Saccharomyces cerevisiae S288C: one gene and its partner. The protein of the gene in region 1 purifies or fractionates together with the protein of each later gene. This does not show direct contact. Each region holds a gene or a part of one and is shown on either strand. Other genes may lie near its edges.

Evidence for each region. Proteins that work in one complex are often made in the same cells at the same time.
Region 2: the proteins of RPG1 (region 1) and TIF5 purify together in Saccharomyces cerevisiae (affinity purification with mass spectrometry; 7 studies listed by BioGRID, with this or other methods). This does not show direct contact.

What each region holds. Positions count from the first base shown.
Region 1 is NC_001134.8:396,072-400,907, reverse strand, and holds the start of RPG1 (translation initiation factor eIF3 core subunit a), read left to right. Parts: upstream 1-2,630; coding exon 2,631-4,836. Other genes in the region: AAA family ATPase SEC18, read left to right, coding at 18-2,294.
Region 2 is NC_001148.4:646,086-650,303, reverse strand, and holds TIF5 (translation initiation factor eIF5), read right to left. Parts: upstream 1,601-4,218; coding exon 383-1,600; downstream 1-382. Other genes in the region: TIP41 (Tip41p), read right to left, coding at 1,929-2,999; IRC16 (Irc16p), read right to left, coding at 3,109-3,468; ERV2 (flavin-linked sulfhydryl oxidase), read left to right, coding at 3,266-3,856; SPO24 (Spo24p), read right to left, coding at 4,151-4,218. UniProt on the Saccharomyces cerevisiae protein: Catalyzes the hydrolysis of GTP bound to the 40S ribosomal initiation complex (40S.mRNA.Met-tRNA[F].eIF-2.GTP) with the subsequent joining of a 60S ribosomal subunit resulting in the release of eIF-2 and the guanine nucleotide.

The DNA of each region.
Region 1 (4,836 bases):
GCCTTTATAAATTGAGTATGTTCAAGATACCTGGTTTTGGAAAAGCTGCTGCAAATCATACTCCACCAGATATGACAAACATGGATACCCGTACACGCCATTTAAAGGTGTCAAACTGTCCAAATAACTCCTATGCACTCGCAAACGTAGCTGCTGTCTCACCAAATGATTTCCCTAATAACATTTATATTATTATCGATAATTTATTTGTTTTCACAACTAGACACTCCAACGACATTCCACCGGGAACCATTGGATTTAACGGTAACCAGCGTACCTGGGGTGGTTGGTCCCTAAATCAAGACGTGCAAGCAAAAGCATTTGATTTATTCAAGTATTCCGGTAAGCAATCGTATCTTGGTTCAATAGATATAGATATCTCATTCAGAGCTAGAGGTAAGGCGGTAAGCACGGTATTCGATCAAGATGAGTTAGCCAAACAATTTGTTCGTTGCTACGAATCTCAAATATTTTCTCCCACCCAGTACCTTATCATGGAGTTCCAAGGCCATTTCTTTGACTTAAAAATTAGAAATGTCCAAGCAATCGATTTGGGTGATATTGAACCAACCTCCGCTGTTGCAACTGGGATAGAGACAAAGGGAATTTTGACAAAACAAACACAAATTAATTTTTTCAAAGGAAGAGATGGTTTAGTTAATTTGAAATCATCAAATTCATTAAGACCAAGATCAAATGCTGTGATCAGACCGGATTTCAAGTTTGAAGATTTGGGTGTCGGTGGTTTGGATAAAGAGTTTACTAAAATTTTCAGAAGAGCGTTTGCAAGTCGAATCTTTCCTCCTTCAGTTATAGAAAAACTGGGTATTTCTCATGTTAAAGGTTTGCTATTGTACGGTCCTCCAGGTACTGGTAAGACCTTAATTGCAAGAAAGATTGGTACAATGCTGAATGCCAAAGAGCCCAAAATCGTCAATGGTCCAGAAATTTTGAGTAAGTACGTTGGTTCTTCAGAAGAAAACATTCGTAATTTATTTAAGGATGCAGAAGCAGAATATAGGGCCAAGGGTGAGGAATCTTCCTTACATATTATTATTTTCGATGAGCTGGATTCTGTTTTCAAGCAGAGAGGTTCAAGAGGTGATGGTACCGGTGTAGGGGACAATGTAGTTAATCAATTGTTAGCTAAAATGGATGGTGTTGATCAATTGAATAATATTTTGGTTATTGGTATGACCAATCGTAAAGATTTAATAGACAGTGCTCTTTTGCGTCCAGGTAGATTTGAAGTCCAAGTTGAAATTCATTTACCCGATGAAAAAGGAAGACTCCAAATTTTCGACATTCAGACGAAGAAAATGAGGGAAAATAATATGATGAGCGACGATGTTAACTTAGCTGAGTTAGCTGCGTTAACAAAAAACTTCTCTGGTGCTGAGATTGAGGGTTTAGTGAAGAGTGCAAGTTCTTTTGCAATCAACAAAACCGTCAACATCGGGAAAGGTGCCACAAAACTTAACACTAAAGATATAGCAAAACTTAAAGTAACAAGAGAAGACTTTTTAAATGCACTCAACGATGTTACTCCCGCTTTTGGGATTAGTGAAGAAGATTTGAAAACATGTGTGGAAGGTGGAATGATGCTTTATTCCGAACGAGTTAACTCAATATTGAAGAACGGAGCCCGTTACGTCCGCCAAGTTCGCGAGAGTGATAAATCCAGGTTAGTATCTCTATTAATCCACGGCCCTGCAGGGTCCGGTAAAACAGCTTTAGCCGCTGAAATTGCTTTAAAATCTGGATTCCCATTCATCAGGTTAATTTCTCCCAACGAGTTGTCAGGCATGTCAGAAAGCGCAAAAATTGCCTATATTGATAACACTTTCAGAGATGCGTATAAATCTCCACTAAACATTCTTGTTATTGATTCGTTAGAGACTCTAGTTGATTGGGTACCAATTGGTCCAAGATTCTCTAATAACATTTTACAAATGCTAAAGGTTGCATTGAAGCGTAAACCCCCACAAGACCGTCGTTTATTGATCATGACTACTACATCAGCTTATTCGGTACTTCAACAAATGGATATCTTGAGTTGCTTCGACAATGAGATAGCAGTTCCAAATATGACCAATTTAGATGAATTGAACAACGTCATGATAGAATCAAACTTTCTTGACGATGCTGGTAGAGTTAAAGTTATTAATGAATTATCAAGGAGCTGTCCTAACTTCAATGTCGGTATTAAAAAGACCTTGACCAACATTGAAACCGCAAGGCACGATGAAGATCCCGTGAACGAGCTTGTTGAGTTGATGACCCAATCCGCATAATTATTTCAAATTTTTCATGTCCTTGTATTTTTATTCTTTATCCCTTCCAATCAGAAAGGATCTAGTGAACAAGTTCTTTCCTCTATGGTATATATTTTAGTGATAAATTTTATAAAATTATCAAAACCAAGGCATCCTTTCCTTTTATTCTGTCATTGGAATCTGCCTGTCATAATTATCACCCACCGGGTAAAGATGATAATTTTTCAGTCGCTTTGCCCGAGAAGCTTTGCCAGGTGAAAAATTTTTCTTGGTGAACTAAATCGAAAGTAGATATACTTACAACTATAGAGAGAGTTCCAAAATAAACCATACAAACGCCCAGGAAACATCAAGATGGCCCCCCCACCATTCCGTCCTGAAAATGCCATTAAGAGAGCCGATGAACTTATTTCTGTTGGCGAAAAACAAGCTGCTTTACAATCTTTGCATGATTTCATAACTGCCAGAAGAATCCGTTGGGCTACACCTTCAACTGTTGAGCCAGTCGTGTTTAAATTCTTGGAAATTGGTGTTGAACTAAAGAAAGGTAAGCTGCTAAAAGACGGTTTGCACCAGTACAAAAAATTAATTCAAGGATCTACCGAAGGTTTGGTTTCTGTCGGTGCCGTTGCACGTAAATTCATTGATTTAGTCGAATCTAAAATCGCTTCTGAACAAACTAGAGCTGACGAACTTCAAAAGCAAGAAATCGATGATGATTTGGAAGGTGGTGTTACCCCAGAAAATTTGCTGATTTCTGTTTACGAGTCAGATCAATCTGTGGCTGGTTTCAATGATGAAGCCATTACTTCATGGTTAAGATTTACTTGGGAATCATATCGTGCAGTCTTAGATTTATTGAGAAACAACGCTTTGTTGGAAATTACTTATTCTGGTGTCGTTAAAAAAACTATGCATTTCTGTTTGAAGTATCAGCGTAAAAACGAATTCAAGAGATTAGCTGAAATGTTACGTCAACATTTAGATGCTGCTAACTACCAACAAAGTAAATCAGGAAACAATTTAGTTGACTTGAGCGATGCTGATACCTTGCAACGTTATTTAGATCAACGTTTCCAACAAGTCGATGTTTCTGTCAAGTTGGAATTGTGGCACGAGGCTTATAGATCCATTGAGGATGTTTTCCACTTAATGAAAATATCCAAACGTGCTCCTAAACCATCTACTTTGGCTAATTACTACGAGAATCTCGTAAAGGTCTTCTTTGTTTCCGGTGATCCATTGTTGCACACTACTGCCTGGAAGAAGTTTTATAAGTTATATTCTACCAATCCAAGAGCCACGGAAGAAGAATTCAAAACATATTCTTCTACAATTTTCCTATCCGCTATTTCTACCCAACTAGACGAAATTCCATCTATTGGCTACGATCCTCATTTACGTATGTACCGTTTATTAAACTTGGACGCCAAGCCAACTAGAAAGGAAATGTTGCAATCCATTATTGAAGACGAATCCATTTATGGTAAAGTTGACGAGGAATTGAAAGAATTGTACGATATCATTGAAGTTAACTTTGATGTCGACACAGTGAAACAACAGCTGGAAAATTTATTAGTCAAATTGTCTTCTAAAACCTACTTCAGCCAATACATCGCACCTTTAAGAGACGTCATTATGAGAAGGGTTTTTGTTGCTGCCTCTCAAAAATTCACTACTGTCTCCCAGTCCGAATTATACAAGCTCGCTACCCTACCTGCTCCGTTAGACTTATCTGCTTGGGACATCGAAAAATCGCTGTTACAAGCTGCTGTGGAAGATTATGTTTCAATTACCATCGATCATGAATCTGCTAAGGTTACATTCGCTAAAGATCCATTTGACATTTTCGCATCAACTGCTTCTAAAGAAGTCTCTGAAGAAGAAAACACAGAGCCAGAAGTCCAAGAAGAAAAGGAGGAAACTGACGAAGCTCTTGGGCCACAAGAAACTGAAGACGGTGAAGAAAAGGAAGAAGAATCTGATCCTGTTATTATCCGCAATTCTTACATCCACAACAAGTTGCTTGAATTATCCAATGTCCTACACGATGTTGACAGTTTCAACAATGCTTCATACATGGAAAAGGTTAGAATTGCCCGTGAAACTTTAATTAAGAAGAACAAGGATGACCTTGAAAAGATTTCCAAGATTGTTGACGAACGTGTCAAGAGATCTCAAGAGCAAAAGCAAAAACATATGGAACATGCTGCCCTACATGCTGAACAGGATGCTGAGGTCAGACAACAGCGTATTTTGGAAGAAAAAGCTGCTATTGAAGCTAAATTGGAAGAAGAGGCTCACCGTCGCTTAATTGAAAAGAAGAAACGTGAATTTGAAGCTATCAAAGAAAGAGAAATCACAAAGATGATTACTGAGGTGAATGCTAAGGGACATGTTTACATTGACCCTAACGAAGCTAAAAGCTTAGATCTTGACACCATTAAACAGGTTATTATAGCTGAGGTATCAAAGAACAAGAGTGAATTGGAAAGTCGTATGGAATATGCTATGAAGAAGTTAGATCATACGGAAAGAGCTTTGAGAAAGGTCGAATTGC
Region 2 (4,218 bases), on another chromosome or scaffold:
TGACCCTTTTTTTTTCCTCTATTGTACAAGTTTTCAACAGGCTTTAGGCTCTACTTCTATTAATGATTATAATATAATGCATTACCTTTCAGAAAAATCTTCGGTAATCTCATGTTATGTATACGCATGCGATCGTGGAGCCAAATTACACCGACATTTTATTTTTTTTTTTTTACTTAATAATTAATCAATCAATCAGTGGCTTTAAAAGTCTCATCTTTGTTTTTTGCCAGTACCAAGTATGTCGCACTTGGAAGAAATATTATATTTATAAATATTTACATATCTATACATCAACGAGCTCAAAAACAACAGAACATAATCCTTATCTTACGCCATGTCATATAATAATTTACACATAAGTCTTTTGCCCCCTCCTAAGCTATTCGTCGTCTTCTTCATCATCGTCACTTTCAGCGGTTTCTAACCACGTAATGAATGGCTTAGCAGCCCTACGAACCTTTTTGGATACCTCCTTAGGTACAAATTTCTTGGATGATTTGGTACCAAATCTCATGATTTCTTCTTCCGAGATGATATCATTATTGTATAGTTGTACCAAAATTTTTGGTAATAGTGGGATTAGATCCTTATGTTCTAAACCTAAAAATCTTTCAATACCACCCATAAAGTTCTTTTCGTATTCTGGAGTGACTAAAATTTTAGTGAAAAATGCATTATGTTCAGCGATTTCGTTTACGATATCCTCATCGAATAGACATTGCGCCAAGACACAACCAATTTTTGGATCATTCAAGACGTCTAGTTCTGCAGCCTTCTTATAAAGCTCCACATCTGATGGTAAGTTCTCCTTATCTTCACCAGCCTGCTCCAAAATCCATTCACCATATTCATCCAGTTGAGTGAGCTCAGAGTTCACTTCTAGTTCCTTGGCACGAGCTCTAATGGCTTCTTCAGACATATCAACCGCCCATTCGTCATCTTTGACCTCGATATCTTCTAAGGTAGAGGCAGCCGCCTTGATTTGACGAGATAATTCATCTTCGTCTTCGTCATGATGTTGTGGAGTGGATGAGCCGGTGCCATCTGAAGGTGCATTCTGAGACTTACCTTGAGCAATATCACTAATGGACAACCCACCACCACGAACATTGGCCGAAGCGGTAGCTGCTTTCTTCTTCTTCTTGGAACCAGAAACGGAGTCAGGTGGGTTTTTCAAAATGAAGGATGATAGTTTATGTCTCAAGTCCATTGGAGTTCTCTTACCACAGGCTTTACAGTCTCGAACCAAATCATTATCTTTGGTAATGATGATCTCCGTTTCTGGATTTTTACAGCTTCCACAGAGAACAAACTTGTTAATAAAGCCATCCAATACGTCTTGCAATTTGGCAGGTTCGTGAACACCATTAACTAAATAACGATCTTTGTCAACAGAGATGGAAGTTTGAGCACCTAATTCGAAACCAAAATACTTGACAATATATGGAGCAGGTCTATTTAGCGCGTGAGAGATGTCAGCGACGTTCAAAACGGCAGTCTTGATACCGTTACCTCTACCTTCCACCTTGGCTTGGATGGGAGGCATTTTGTAACGGTAAAATGGATCATGATTATCTCTACAAATATTAATAGACATCTTGTACCAGTGAACGTGTGTTTATGCAAATAATAGGAGTTTTTTTTTTTGGAAAAAAAAGAAGAACACACGAGATACTCTTTAATGTAGTGGTGTCTTTGTAAGTCAGCAAAGTGGGAAGGAGGGGTAGGCGTTTGCCACTAATTAAATGCTAAAAGTTCATCTATTTTCTTTTTTTTTTTTCGTTCATACTTCGCGATGAAAATTTTTCACTATTTACAGAACGGGTAAGAGCATGATTTTAAGATCATTTCTTGTATGATGTATCCGGAGCTTATGTATATGTGACGTGTATGTATTTGTACGTATTGTTTTGTATATTTGATTGTTAGAACTGAATTATTTCACATTGTCTTTTGATCATCGGCGTGTTCTGTGCTACCCAATTACTATCTCTCAAGGCAGCTTTTGGGTCGTGAGATTGGGATAGCCGGTGCTTAGCAAGTACATCCTGATATTTACCTTCAAATTCCTTGGATTCTCTGATCACTACGTTTTCGTCAAACTCCACGTAAATCCTGGTGTCGTAGACCCTCACCAGAACATCGTCCACCCTTAAAAAGAACCGGCTCAGCAGCAGTAACCTTTCGTTCATAACTCTTATTTTGACGTTAAGGATTGATATGCCATTGTCTGCCAATTCGTCTTCGAAAAGAATCATGTCGTCATAGAATAGGATTTTATCGTGTACGGCCAGTTTGTCAAGGGGCAGCTTTTGATCGTTATCCAGTCGGAATTTCGACTCAGGTGAGCTCTCTGTGCCCTTATACCGCGTAGTGTAGGTCCAGTCGTACTTGTGTATGATATTTAAGGAATCGTCGTTCACATCGTTAGTGAACCGTTGCGCACCATTAGTTGAATTTTGTCTTTTTTTAGAATTTATCCAGTCGTTTGAGTACGCAACACGAATACCTGAATCCTGGAGTTGAACCTCCTTTAAAGCATCCAGGGCATTGAACTCTATGGACCAATGCTGTTTTGAATTTTCGATCCTGATGTAGTTGTTACCAAAAATCATCTCTGGCAAAGTCAAACCTTTGAGTTTTTCGTTTTCCCAGATGTCTAATTCCTGCGAGTTCAAAATGGGCTTCTTTCTGGAGGAGATGGTCCAGTCGTTGATGGAGATGGAGGGGTTGTCCTCCAAGGGTAACGTGGCCCTTGGAGATGGAATGATAACAGACCCACAGTGGAGACACTGCGGATTGTTTGGGTTATTGCAAATATGTCGAGGTGGTGTTGCTGGGGCTGCAGTTGGTTGCACAGAGGGTGTAGTGATGCCGCTAGTTGGCATGGGCATTCTTCGAGCGCGCACCGTTTGAGCGTGCATTTCTCTAGCAGCATTTATTTGAATAGTGTTTATCCCTGATGATCTGAGCGGTGGAGTGTTTCTTTTGGACATTTTTTCTGGGGAGCTGTTGTGTCTAAAGCTGCCCTTAGGTCATGTATATGGGGTGCGTAAGTATGGTGATGCATTTTGTTATTATATATTACAAGATGGAAGAGAAAGGTTAACCACCGGGTAAACGAAGCGGGAAAAGGAACCAAAAATAAAGGACAAAAGGCTTTATCATTAAACAATAAACGTGGGTGATGAAGACAAGAAGACGGGAAGGCTGGTGATTTGTAAAGAGGAAAGTCTGGACAGATTGTGCAAGGAACGAAGGGATGAAACAGATAGTCAAAAGAAGCCATGCCATCAGAATAGTTGCAGCATTAGGAATCATAGGCCTGTGGATGTTTTTCTCGTCTAATGAACTATCCATCGCTACGCCGGGCCTAATCAAGGCGAAGTCTGGTATAGATGAAGTGCAAGGGGCGGCTGCTGAGAAGAACGACGCTCGGTTGAAAGAGATCGAGAAGCAAACCATTATGCCATTGATGGGCGATGACAAGGTGAAGAAGGAAGTGGGCAGGGCGTCGTGGAAGTACTTCCATACCCTGCTGGCCCGTTTTCCGGACGAGCCTACTCCTGAAGAAAGAGAGAAACTGCACACGTTTATTGGGTTGTATGCAGAACTCTATCCATGCGGGGAATGTTCATATCACTTTGTAAAGTTGATTGAGAAGTATCCCGTACAGACATCTAGCAGGACGGCTGCCGCAATGTGGGGATGCCACATTCACAACAAGGTGAACGAATACCTAAAGAAAGACATATATGACTGTGCTACCATCCTGGAGGACTACGATTGTGGATGTAGTGACAGCGACGGTAAACGCGTGTCTCTCGAGAAGGAGGCTAAACAGCACGGTTGAACAAAGAAAGATTACATTAATCAATTATAGTAATAGTAAATTTTTTATTATTTTATATTTTAAATTTTTTTACTTTCTCAGTATTTATATTACATAAATATGTATATATCAAAAAGTTTCTGTCGTAGAAGAGACCCGATCCGAGGTTATTGAATGTAAGTGCGGGAAAGTGCAGATAGAATGACAATGAATGCTCCGGAAAAAAAAAAAAAAGTACGTGACTTACTTGCCCAAGTAAGTAAAGATGCCAAGTGTCTTTTATGCTAATAGTGTGCTAATTCTCGTGTACAACACTTACAACAGAGACAAAGAGTTTTTTCTGGAGTGTGAGCGGCTTGAAGCAGAGGCATCCAAAAGAGCGG